Linked DNA regions of Macaca mulatta. The protein of the gene in region 2 interacts with the protein of the main gene of each other region in a pairwise test. Links are inferred from orthologs where the notes say so. Each region holds a gene or a part of one and is shown on either strand. Other genes may lie near its edges.

The links. The genes of interacting proteins can lie anywhere in the genome.
Region 1: the proteins of SGTA (region 2) and TFRC interact in binary tests that used the Homo sapiens proteins (3 or more experiments, as listed by UniProt). The two-hybrid records come from large-scale screens. The link is inferred for Macaca mulatta from reciprocal best matches to the Homo sapiens genes SGTA and TFRC.

Annotation. Positions count from the first base shown.
Region 1 is NC_133407.1:1,620,026-1,626,196, forward strand, and holds the start of TFRC (transferrin receptor protein 1), read right to left. Parts: upstream 3,880-6,171; 5' UTR 3,823-3,879; intron 1-3,822. UniProt on the Homo sapiens protein: Cellular uptake of iron occurs via receptor-mediated endocytosis of ligand-occupied transferrin receptor into specialized endosomes. Endosomal acidification leads to iron release.
Region 2 is NC_133424.1:3,530,117-3,535,602, forward strand, and holds part of SGTA (small glutamine-rich tetratricopeptide repeat-containing protein alpha), read right to left. Parts: coding exon 5,429-5,486; intron 4,432-5,428; coding exon 4,293-4,431; intron 3,378-4,292; coding exon 3,315-3,377; intron 1,191-3,314; coding exon 1,153-1,190; intron 1-1,152. UniProt on the Homo sapiens protein: Co-chaperone that binds misfolded and hydrophobic patches-containing client proteins in the cytosol. Mediates their targeting to the endoplasmic reticulum but also regulates their sorting to the proteasome when targeting fails.

The sequences.
Region 1 (6,171 bases), on a different chromosome or scaffold from region 2:
CTGAGAGCATATTAAACGCGCACACGGCACAAAGCCAGCTGTGAGGTATATGCAAACTGTAAAGCAAAGGGTATGATAACTGGCATTAAGAAAAAGCTTTCTGGCCGGGCGTGGTGGCTAACGCCTGTAATCCCAACACTTTGGGAGGCTGAGGCAGGTGGATCACGAAGTCAGGAGTTAGAGACCAGCCTGGCCAAGGTGGTAAAACCCCCATCTCTACTAAAAGCACAAAAATTAGCTGGGCGGGCTGATGGGCACCTGTAATCCCAGCTACTGGGGAGGCTGAGGCAGGAGAATCGCTTGAACCCGGGAGGCAGAGGTTGTGGTAAGCCAAGATGGCGCCACTGCACTCCAGCCTGGGGGACAGTGAGACTCCATCTCAAAAAAAAAGAAAAAAAGTTCTAAAACCCATTACAAAAAAACTTATTTTTAAATCCAAGCTTTAAAGACCAGCGTCCATATGCAATGGGTCATATTCTTAGAAGCATAATCTTTTTTTTTGAGACAGAGTTTCAGTCTTGTTGCTGAGGCAGGAGTGCAACAGCATGATCTCGGCTCACTGCAACCTCCAACTCCTGGGTTCAAGCGATTTTCCCACCTCAGACCCCGAGTACCTGGGATTACAGGCGCCTGCCACCATGCCCGGCTAATTTTTGTATTTTTAAGAGACAGGATTTCACCATGTTGGCCAGGGTGGTCTGGACCTAAGGTGATCCACCCACCTGGCTTCTCAAAGTACTAAGATTAGTTACTTGACAAGAACATCCCAAGGCGTGAGCCACTGCGCCTGGCCAGAAGCACAATCTTTTGCCCCTTCTGTTACAAAAAGCTTATCACTGCCACCACCAGAGCAGTAAGGACCCAATCACTAGAGCAGACCTGGAAGGCCCCACCCTGAACCAATTTTAATCATCCTTTTCCAGGAAAAAACATCTTGCAAGGTTTGACACTCATCTGAACCATAATTCCTCAAGTTTTCTAGTTTTAAATTAATTTTAAGAACACAAAGCGATGGCCGGGCATGGTGGCTCACACCTGTAATCCCAGCAACACTTTGGGAGGCCGAGGCGAGCAGATCACCTGAGGTCGGGAGTTTGAGACTAGCCTGACCAACATGGAGAAACTCCATCTCTACTAAAAAAAATACAAAATTAGCTGGGCGTGGTGGCGAATGCCTGTAATCCCAGCTACTGGGGAGGCTGAGGCGGGAGAATCACTTGAACCCAGGGGAGGTGGAGGTTGCGGAGAGATCGCGCCATTGCATTCTAGCCTGGGCAACAAGCGTGAAACTCCGTCAAAAATAAATAAATAAATAATCTAAGCTACTTGTGTATCTTTGGTGTTCTCAATGGTGACTGAAAACAACAATTCAATTTTTCACATTAATAATGAAGTTCAGGTAGGCAAAACGTAGCCCCACATTTTGAACTATGAAATGGAACACATTCACTGCCTAACCACTTCACTACCCTCTATTTTCTCCAAAATCTGACAGAATCCAGCCCATCTTTTTACCCACTAACATTCTTCTCTGTTCCTTGAGGTCCTCATTTCTTCCAGGCTCAGCTCAAGGGCCATCTCTATGAAGCCTTCTCTGACTGACTTCCCTATCCTGTAATAACTGGTATTGAACGACCTGATAATGAGTAAAAATATTGTATTTAACAGTACTGGGGCATGCTTGATGTATGAGATTCCAAATGATATGAAAAATATAATGAAAACATTGGACCAGTAATCTTTTCCCATCCCAGCCACTCTTCTGGTTTAGTAGGGAGGTTCTTTTTTTGTTTTTGAGATGGCATCTCGTTCTGTGGCCCAGGCTGGAGTGCAGTGGTGCCATCTCAGCTCACTACAACCTCTGACTTCCAGGTTAAAGTGATTCTCAAGCTTCTGCCTCCTGAGTGGCTGGGATTACAGGTGTGCACCACCACACCCAGCTAATTTTTGTATTTTTAGTAGAGATGGGCTTTCCCCATGTTGGCCAGGCTGGTCTCGAACTCCTCACCTCAAGCGATCTGCCTGCCTTGGCCTCCCAAAGTGCTGGGATTACAGGCATGAGCCACCATGCCCTGCTAATTTTTGTATTTTTAGCAGAGGCAGGCTTTCACCATGTTAGTCAGCCTGGTCTCGAACTCCTGACCTTAGGTGATCCGCCTGCCTCAGCCTCCCAAAGTGCTGGGATTACAGGTGTGAGTGAGCCACGGCACCCAACCAAGAATCAGTTTTAACATAAATTGGATTGTGATCCAATTCAGGTTTGGCTGGGAACCTTGCTCCATGACATGTAAATACATTATCAGAGGCAAGTAACTGCCTCGCCTGAGGGCACAGTTAGCCAAACTGCTGTGTATCCAACGACCTTCAACACAGGCTAGGTTTACAGCCACCATTACTTGATAAGAACATCCAAAGGAAATTGAAGGATGCCGTGCTCTATATAACCTTGCAATATCGATGACAAAAATTATCTTAACTCTGGATTTTCTTGAGAAGCATACTGTAACCCAAAATTGAGGGCGGGGGGTGGGGGGACCAGCAGGGTCCACAAACACTCTAGAGAGCTTAACCTTAATTTTCACAGTAAGCTTAGCATACAAGTATGGGGTGGCCAAATACAATTTCCTACTTCAATCCTCTTATCAACGGGGAAGAAAATGGAAAAAGCTGCAGAATCCAGTCCCCGGATAAGTGACGTACCCAAGTCTCTACAAGCAGTGAGCAGAGGGAAAGCGTTAACCGAAAAAAGCCGAATCAGAATGTATTTTCTTACCCACCCTCCCAACCTTAAAGAACTGTCCAGCAGAATGTGACACAACGGCCTCTCGGGCGCCCATCAACACAGCGCAGCCCTCTGACCACACCGCTAATCTCCAAGTGTCTTTCACCAATAAGACTCCCATGGCTCCCGTCTTGTCGTGAGAACTGCTAGCAATATTCTTAATGTCAACACCTGCGGCGTTCCGCCGGATTCTGCCTTGAGAAAATAGAATCCACACACGGCGAACAGGCAGAGCGTGGCGAGACCAGCTGGTACCAGAGCCGAAGGGTCAGTTTACAGAAGCCCGTATCTAATTAATGCCTGTAACACGCCAGGTAACCGAATCGGGGACAGCTCTGTCCCCTTCCGCAGTGAGAGCGGGGCCGGCCCGGAGCCCGGGGAAGCGAAGGTTTACAAGCCCAAGGTCACCCACGGATCCCAGCCATTCCCCGGGGCGACTTCCTGGAGCAGCCACGTGTTCCCCGACGCCGCACGCCGCGCAGCTGCACCGGGACTGCGCCCGCGCTCCCGGACCCGCAGCCCGGAGCCCGCGCACGAGGGCCTGCAGCCTGCAAGGGCGAGGACCCGAAGTCCGCGGGGCTGAGCGACGTGGGGTACACCTGCTCTCGTCCTCCGAGCAGTAAGAGAAGCCATTCGTCGCTCTGTGACTGAGGCGGCGGGCAAGAAGGGACGAGAGGCGAAGGGACGAGAGGCGAAGGGACGAGAGGCGAAGGGACGAGAGGCGAAGGGACGAGAGGAGAAGGGACGAGAGGCGAAGGGACGAGAGGAGAAGGGACGAGAGGAGAAGGGACGAGAGGAGAAGGGACGCCTCTCCGCACAGCCGCCCGACCCCGCTCGAGGTGCCGCCACAGCCCCTTCCCCACAGGCTCGCGGCCCCGCTCCATCCCGGCCGCCCCGCCTGGGGCCGCGGCCGCCTTCCCGCTCCCCGCGCGGTCCCCTGTGGCTGCTGGACAGCAGCGGAGCGGCCGCTCCAGCAAGCCCCGCAAGACGAAGGGAGGCCACGAGGGTCGGCGTCGTTCTAGAAGCCCGCAGTCACTCACACTAGCGCGTCCTCCGTCCCGCGCCGCCTCAGCCGCCACCCGATATCACGACGCTCTGAGGGGATGGCGGCCCCGAACCGGCGGTTTATAGCCTGGCCCCGCCCCCGGCCCCCCGGGGCCTTGCGTCACTTCCTGAGGCACGTACGCTCGGCGAGGTGCTCTGACAGATCGCCTGGGGGCGGGGATGCGCGCGCACCGGGCGGGGCCCTCCGCGGAGGGCGCTGCGGGCGAGGCGAAGGCAGAGGGAAAAGGCGCCAAGGCAGCAGGTGCCCCGAGGAGCCGCGCGATGGGCGCGCTGGCCTCTGCCTCGGCGCCTTCCTCCACCCTGGCAGCCTGGCAGCCTCCGCCTGACCTTGACCGACCTCCAGTCCCTGCAGTGCAAGGTCAAATCTGTTGGCGTTGACGCTCAAATGTTGGATACTTGCACTGCAGCAGTTCCTTAAAATGTATGTGCAGGATGGAATGTTAGGTAACCATTAAAGCCGCTCTTGTGAAGATGTATTTTGCAGCCTCAGAAATTCAAAAAGGAAAAGAAAAGCAAAATGCAAATTTTTGTTCAGAATATATACAAGCTGCACTGTAACCAAGAGTAGCGGAGTGCTTTGCATAATGTTTAATGCATGAGGGAATAAAAGGGAAAATAGAAACAATCGGGTGATAGGATTGTAGATTAACTTTCGTTTTCATTGCCATTATTGCTGTTACTGGATTGTGCAGGGCATAACAAAATTCAATTCTTATCACCGTTTAAACTCTTTCCAAACAATCACACCCTCTCCCTCCCTCTGGTCAGTAAACTGCAGGCCAGGGAGGTAGTAGCTACAATGCAAGAAACCAACCCAGACCTTAAAAGCATTGCACATAAACTGACCTTCAGCGCCCTTAGGGACACAGAACAGCCCTTTAAGAAGCAAATCTGTTTCTCGGCCTTGGGCTTTTACTTTTCCCTTTATTTTTTCTGCTCTAAGATAAAGTACTTGGGATTATCTCACCGCCTTTCTCTTTACTCCCATTCTCTGCAATCTCTCTCCCCAGAGAGAAGTGTTTAAAAGTCATTGAGTTGCCGGGCGCGGTGGCTCACGCCCTAATCCCAGCACTTTGGGAGGCCGAGGTGGGTGGATCACGAGATCTGGAGTTCCAGCCCAGCCTGACCAACATGGTGAAACCCCATCTCTACTAAAAAAAAATTTTAAAAAAATTAGCCGGGTGTAATGGCGCGCGCCTGTAATCGCAGCTACTCACAAGGCTGAGGCAGAAGAATCCCTTGAACCCAAGAAGTGGAGGTTGCAGTGAGCCGAGATCGCACCATTGCACTCCAGCCTGGGTAACAGCAAGATTCCGTCTCAAATTTAAAAAAAAAAAAGTAATTTGAGCAGGAGCATTGCTGCACCTTAAATGATCTACTCAGGAAAAGGTTAAGGACGGACTTCCACAGAAGGCCTACCTTAATATTCAGATACCAGGCCTGCTCCCCTCTGCTCTTCTTTCTTTATTTTTTTAATTATTAATTTTATATATTTGTGTTATTATTATTTTTAAGAAAGTGTCTTGCCCTGTCACTCAGGCTGGAGTACAGTGGCATGATCTCGGGCTCACTGCAACCTCTGCCTCCGGATTCAAGCAATTCTCCTGCCTCGGCCTCCCAAGTAGCTGGGACTACAGGTGTGCACCACCACGCCCGGCTACTTTTTGTACTTTGAGTAGTGATGGGGTTTTATCATGTTGGCCAGGCTTGTCTCGAATTCCTGACCTCAGGTGATCTGCCCACCTTGGCCTCCCAAAGTGTTGGGATAACAGGCATGAGCCACCGTGCCCAGCCTATTTATTTTTTATTTTTTATTTGACGCAGTTTGCTATGTAGCCCAGACTGGTCTTGAACTCCTGGGCTCAAACAGTCCTCCTGCCTCCGGCCTCCCAAAGTGCTGGGATTACAGGCATGAGCTACTGTGCCTGGCCTTCTGCCTTTCCTTGACTGAAGTATCTTTTAAAAAGAAACAAACTATGCTGGTATTTGCCGGTGAAGATCTTATACCCTCATGGAGGACGTAGGTTTAGGTGGACATATGAGATGGCTAATCCCTGTAATCCCAACACTTTGGGAGACCGAGGCAGGTGGATCACCTGACGTCAGGAGTTCAAGACCGGCCTGGCCAACATAAAACCCCATCACAACCAAAAATACAAAAATTAGCCTGGCTTGGTGGTGCACACCTGTGGTCCCAGCTACTCCAGAGGCTGAGGCAGGAGAATCATTTGAACCCGGGAAGGGGAGGTTGCAGTAAGCTGAGATCGCACCACTGTCCTCCAGCCGGGGCAACAGAGCAAGACTCTGTCTCAAAAGAAAAGAAA
Region 2 (5,486 bases):
GTGGCAGCCGACATTTTCAACAGCCACGATCGGGTTACGCCAAGACAGCGGTGGCGGGGGGACTCCTGACATGCAGTGGGTGGAGGCTAGAGATGCTGTTAGTACCCTGCAGTGCCCAGGACAGCCCCGCTCCAGAAACTGGTCCAGCCCAAATGGCCACGGTGCTGTGGCCAGGAAACTATGCTTTTAGATTTGACCATGGGCCAGCCGCAGTGGCTCACACCTGTCATCCCTCTACTTTGGGAGGCCGAGGTGGGTGGATCACCTGAGGTCAGGAGTTCAAGACCAGCCTGGCCAACGTGGTGAAACCCCCATCTCTACTAAAAATGCAAAAATTAGCCAGGCGTGGTGGCGGGTGCCTGTAATTCCAGCTACTTGGGAAGCTGAGACAGGAGACCCACTTGATCCCAGGAGGCAGAGGTTGCAATGAGCCAAGATTGTGCCACTGCACTCAAACCTGGGTGACAGAGTGAGACTCCGTTTCAAAAAAAAAAAAAAGATTTCACCATGAAAACAGGCGAGCAGTTCCCCAATAAGCACAGAGTTCACTGGGGAGTTACCACATGAGCCAGCAACTGCACTCAGAGGTTTATACACAAGAGAAATGAACAGGATTCCCACAGATGCTTGCATACCCATGCTCAAGCAGCACCGTTCACAACAGACAAAAGGCAGAAACAGCCCCAATGTCCACGGATAGACGTGTGGATCAGCACAGCGTGGTCCATCCGCACTGGAATATTACTCAGCCACGAAAAGGAGCGAGGCCCTGACCCAGGCCTCAGCACAGATGCACCTTGAGGACGTCACGCTCAGTGAGAGACGTCAGACACAAAAGACCACGCAGTGTGTGACCCTGTTTCTATGAAATGTCCAGGACAGGCCCAGCCACAGAGACGGGAAGGGGATGTGTGGCTGTCAGGGGATGGGAGAGGGGTTGGGGAGTGACAGGTGATGGGGAAGGGGCTTCTTTCGGAGGTGATGAAGACGTGCTGGTGCTCAATGGTGGTGACAGCTGCCTGGCAGTGTGAATGTACGTAACACCATGAAGCTGTGTACTTTAAAGGGGCTAGTTTTATGTCAGGTGCATTTTCCCACAATAGAAGGAAACGTAACCACAAGACGACGTGGAGGAGCCCGGTTGTCACTTACAGCTGCTGAATCTGGGGGTTGTTCATTAGGTTTGAAGCCTGAAGAACAGAACAAATTTGTCAGGAAGACAAAGCTCCAGGCACATCGCTCTCTTTCATCAGACACTTTCCCTCTTCACCAGCCTTGACCCCGGGCGCCAGCACGCCAGCGAACAGTAAGAGCCGGGCATTTGGTCTTTCGTACCCTTTTCCCTACATTCTCGTCCCCCCACCCACGAGCTGTGACCTCCACATTGTGACTTAAATCCTGTTTCGGGTTCCTGCTTTAGCAGCGTTCTCTCACTGGCTGCACGGTTTCACCGTGTGGATGCGTTTGGTTATTTTAGCTGCTGTGTCTACTTTAGCAGATTTGGTTTAGCAGATTTGGTTCCAGTTTTGCTCTATCAATCAATAGCACTGTGGCCGAGCACGGGGGCTCACGTCTGGAATCCCAGCACTTTGGGAGGCCGAGGCAGGCAGATCGCTTGAGGTCAGGAGTTCGAGACCAGCCTAACCAATATGGTGAAACCCCGTCTCTACTAAAAATACGAAATTAGCCGGGTGTGGTGGTGCGCACCTGTAATCCCAGCTACTAGGGGGGCTGAGGCAGGAAAATTGGCTGAACCTGGGAGGCGGAGCTTGCAGGGAGGCGGAGCTTGCAGTGAGCCGAGATCGTACCACTGCATTCCAGCCTGGGTGACAGAGCAAGACTCTGTCTCAAAAAAGAAGTAAAAATAAATAAATAAATAAATAGCACTGTACTGGGCACTTTCTCACGTTAACTTTCCACTTGGGATTATTCCTTTGGACCTGTTGAAAACAGGTGGCTCAGAGGTGTGGCAAACTCGCTGTGTAAAGGGCCAGTGTGTAAATACTCTTAGCCTTTCCAGACTTGGGGTGCCTGACCCAACTACTCAGCTCTGCCACTGTATCGTAAAAGCCACCACTGACACTAGAAGCATGAATGGGCACGGCTGTGTGTCAGTAAAACTTTATCGGTTAGGCACAGTGGCTCACACCTGTAATCCCAGCACTTTGGGGAGCCGAGGCAGGTGGATCACAAGGTCAGGAGTTCGAGACCAGCCTGGCTAACATGGTGAAACCCATTTCTACTAAAAAACACCAAAATTAGCTGGGCGTGGTGGTGGGCACCTGTAATCCCAGCTACTCAGGAGGGTGAGGCAGGAGAATCACTTGAACCTGGGAGACGCAACAGAGTGAGACTCCATCTCAAAAAAAAAAAAAAACTTTATTAACAAAACCCAGCTGCGGGCCTTATTCTGCCAACCTCAGATGTCTAAAGGGAAAAGGAGTCTGTGCCATGGCCAGGCTGAGAGGCCCCGTGGAGGGCTGGGGCCCACTCACCCTCCATCCCATGATGAGGGAGCATGCGTTCCCCTGGCAGCCTGGCCAGAGGCCGAGGGTTACAGTAAGAGGTGCGGCCTCTGCTGAATGGCACGGCCCAGGCAGGGCCCCTGGCGCGGCTGGGGCATTTTTCTGACGGCCAGTGAGGCTGAGGGCTTTTCTCCCCCCTAACAGCCTTAGGCAAGTCCCTGCACCCTGAGGCCGTGGGAGCCTGCAGAGTGGTCCCAGGGCACACAGACCTCCCAGGGAATGAACATGCGTGTGTGGGTGGGTGGCTCTCCAAGGATCTCAGTCAAGGAACCCCCTGCCAAAGTCTGCCCCTCTGGAAGAACGAGTGCCTGGGCATCGGGAGGTACACCTGTGCCCAGGGCGCCCGGCGCTCTGCTTCCCTTGCCTGAACCATGTCTGCTTCCCTTGCAGGCAGACACGGCTGTGTTGTAATCAGTGTCTCTGCACTGCGAGCGGCAGCCCACGCCGGGGTGGGGCGGGGGTGCGATCTCCCCGGGCTATTCAGCCAGGAGAGCCAGGACGCAGTTTTCGGTGCTCACTACTGGTGCGTCTTGCTTGGGACATTAACATCGGGGACACCTTTGATCGTCAAAGCTGAGGGTGGGGGTGCTCCTGACATGGGGTGGGTGAGGCCAGGGACGCTGCCAGCGCCCCGCGGTGCCTGGGATGGCCCCACAGACAGGAACCATCTGGTCCCAGATGCCAGCAGTGCCGAGGCAAGAAAGCCCTGGCCAGGAGCGGTGACACAGAAGATGCAGGCCTGGGGCGTGGCACAGGTACCATGGACAGGGAGGAGGGGCGGGCCCTTACCATGCTCATGAAGCCGGGGTTGTTCAGCAGCCCGGCGATGTCGAAGCTGCCCACGCCTCCCGTCTGAGGATGAGAACAGCCCTGGTTAGTGCGGCCTGGACCAGAGGCCACGTTGAATAAGCTCCCTGGAACCCAGAAACAACGCCCCCCACAGGCTCAGACATTCTATCAAACTGCGGCCGGCGGGTGCTTTGAGGCAGGCAGCACGAAGCACAGCCCAACCGCCCAGGGAGGAACATTCTATCCTGTGTTTATCCCCCGCACAGCCCGACGCCCGGGGACACAGTCTCTCATCCCGTGTTTATCTCCCGCACAGCCTGACCGCCCGGGGGACACAGTCTCTCATCCCGTGTTTATCTCCCGCACAACTCCACAGGCCACAAAAACACAGTCTATTATCCTGTGTTTATTTCCTGTATTCTGCCACTTTGACACCTTGGGGCCTTGCTGGCCTGGCAGAGCCGCCCCCTCCTGGAGTAGCCAATTCCCAGAGACAGCAAATGACTCACCCCGAAACACACCTTTGAAATACAAACCAACCCGGAACCCACACCCTCAGCACCTGCCCCATCACCCCAGGGCCACGATCCACCTGCCCCACTCACCCCCAGGCCAGGAATCAGGCAACCAGTGGCAGCCCTCAGGCCTGGTCTAATGAGATGGCTCCAACCCTCCCACCCTAAGCCTCCTCACCCGGCCCCGCCGCAAAACCCACATGGAGCGTCCTGTCTGTGCCCTCCCTCTGCCTCCCCGCGCAGGCCTGCAGCCGCCTACTGGTTCCAGGGGTCTGGGGCATGAACCTCCTCCTCATGACGGTCACTTCCATGCCTGTGCATCTCACCATCGACCGAAACAAACCCCGGACCGTCACGACACCCAGGTTAGGCCGAGAGCCGCTGGTGTGCCCGAGGCCCTGTCCCTGACCCGCACAGTCAGCTCCGCTCCGCGTTCTGGAGCCGCTCGCCCCGCGGCACTCACGGGGCTGGGGGCCTCCCGCAGCTTCAGCTCCGCTATCTTGAGGTTGGACTTGTACGTCTCGTTGTCAGGGTCCAGCTCCAGGGCCTTCTTGTAGTAGGCCACGGCCTCCACGTGCTTGTTCAGGCTGGAGAGCGCCAGGCTGGAGGAGAGCACCAGGGATGGCCTGTTCCCGTCTGCCCAGCTCCAGGAGGCCCTGCCCAAGCCCTCGTCCCCAGTGGTCCCAGCAATCCCCAAACCGCCTCGGATGGCGGCACCCCCTGCCCACTGTCAGCTGGCTGGAGACAAACCTGGCTTTCTAGGGGCCCAGGGGCGGGACCAAGGGAGACAGACATGAGAACACCGCTGCCGCACAAGAACTGGCGTCCCCATGGGGCCGCACACGAGGCCTCAAAGCCCAGAGCGGGCTGAGAGGAGGGAGCGGGCCGGCTCAGGGTCACAGGAAACGCGTGGATGTGGTCTTGGCCCCGCTTTCTGGCACAGGGCATCGAGGACCCTGGGAACTCAGTGACAGACGTGTCTCCTGTCGTCCACAAGCAGCCCCTGACTCCCACCTGAGTCTTCACTACTGAGATGACTTGGGGCCCCTAGAGAGCCCAGAAGGAGGCAGGTCCTGGGGAGACTGGGCAGGTGAACAGGATCCTCCCCAGCCTCCGGGGAGACCCAGTCCCACGAACTTTAAGCAAGGGCGTTCACAGAAGCAGGCGAATGAACTGCTTCTCATGCTGGGAGGGTGGCACCAGCGGCACGGGGCACAGGCTCCTGCCCCGGGGACCCTCCTGGCCTCGCCCTCAGACCCCTCCTGTGTCCTTCATCATAAACCAGGTGCTTCCCTGAGCTCTGTGAGCCGCCCCAGCAAACAATGGAGCCCGAGTAGGGGCCACGGGAACCCCAGTGGACAGCCAGTCGGGAGAAGCAAGGGGCCCGGGGATCTCCGAGTGGCACGTGATGCAGGGCGTCTGTGGGGCTGAGCCTGCGACCTGTAGGGGCTACGTTGGCTCCGAACGGCTAGTGTCAGAGCTGAACTGAACTGTGGGGGGAGAATCGGTTGTGGGTGGGGGAAAAAGCCACACAAGAGAGGAAGCAGGAGCAGGAGAGGAGGAGCCCCGAGAGACTGGAAACATGCGACAGGCACTCACCCCATCCTGCCGTAGGCCTTGCTGTAGGCGGGGTCGATGCAGATGGCCCGCTCACAGT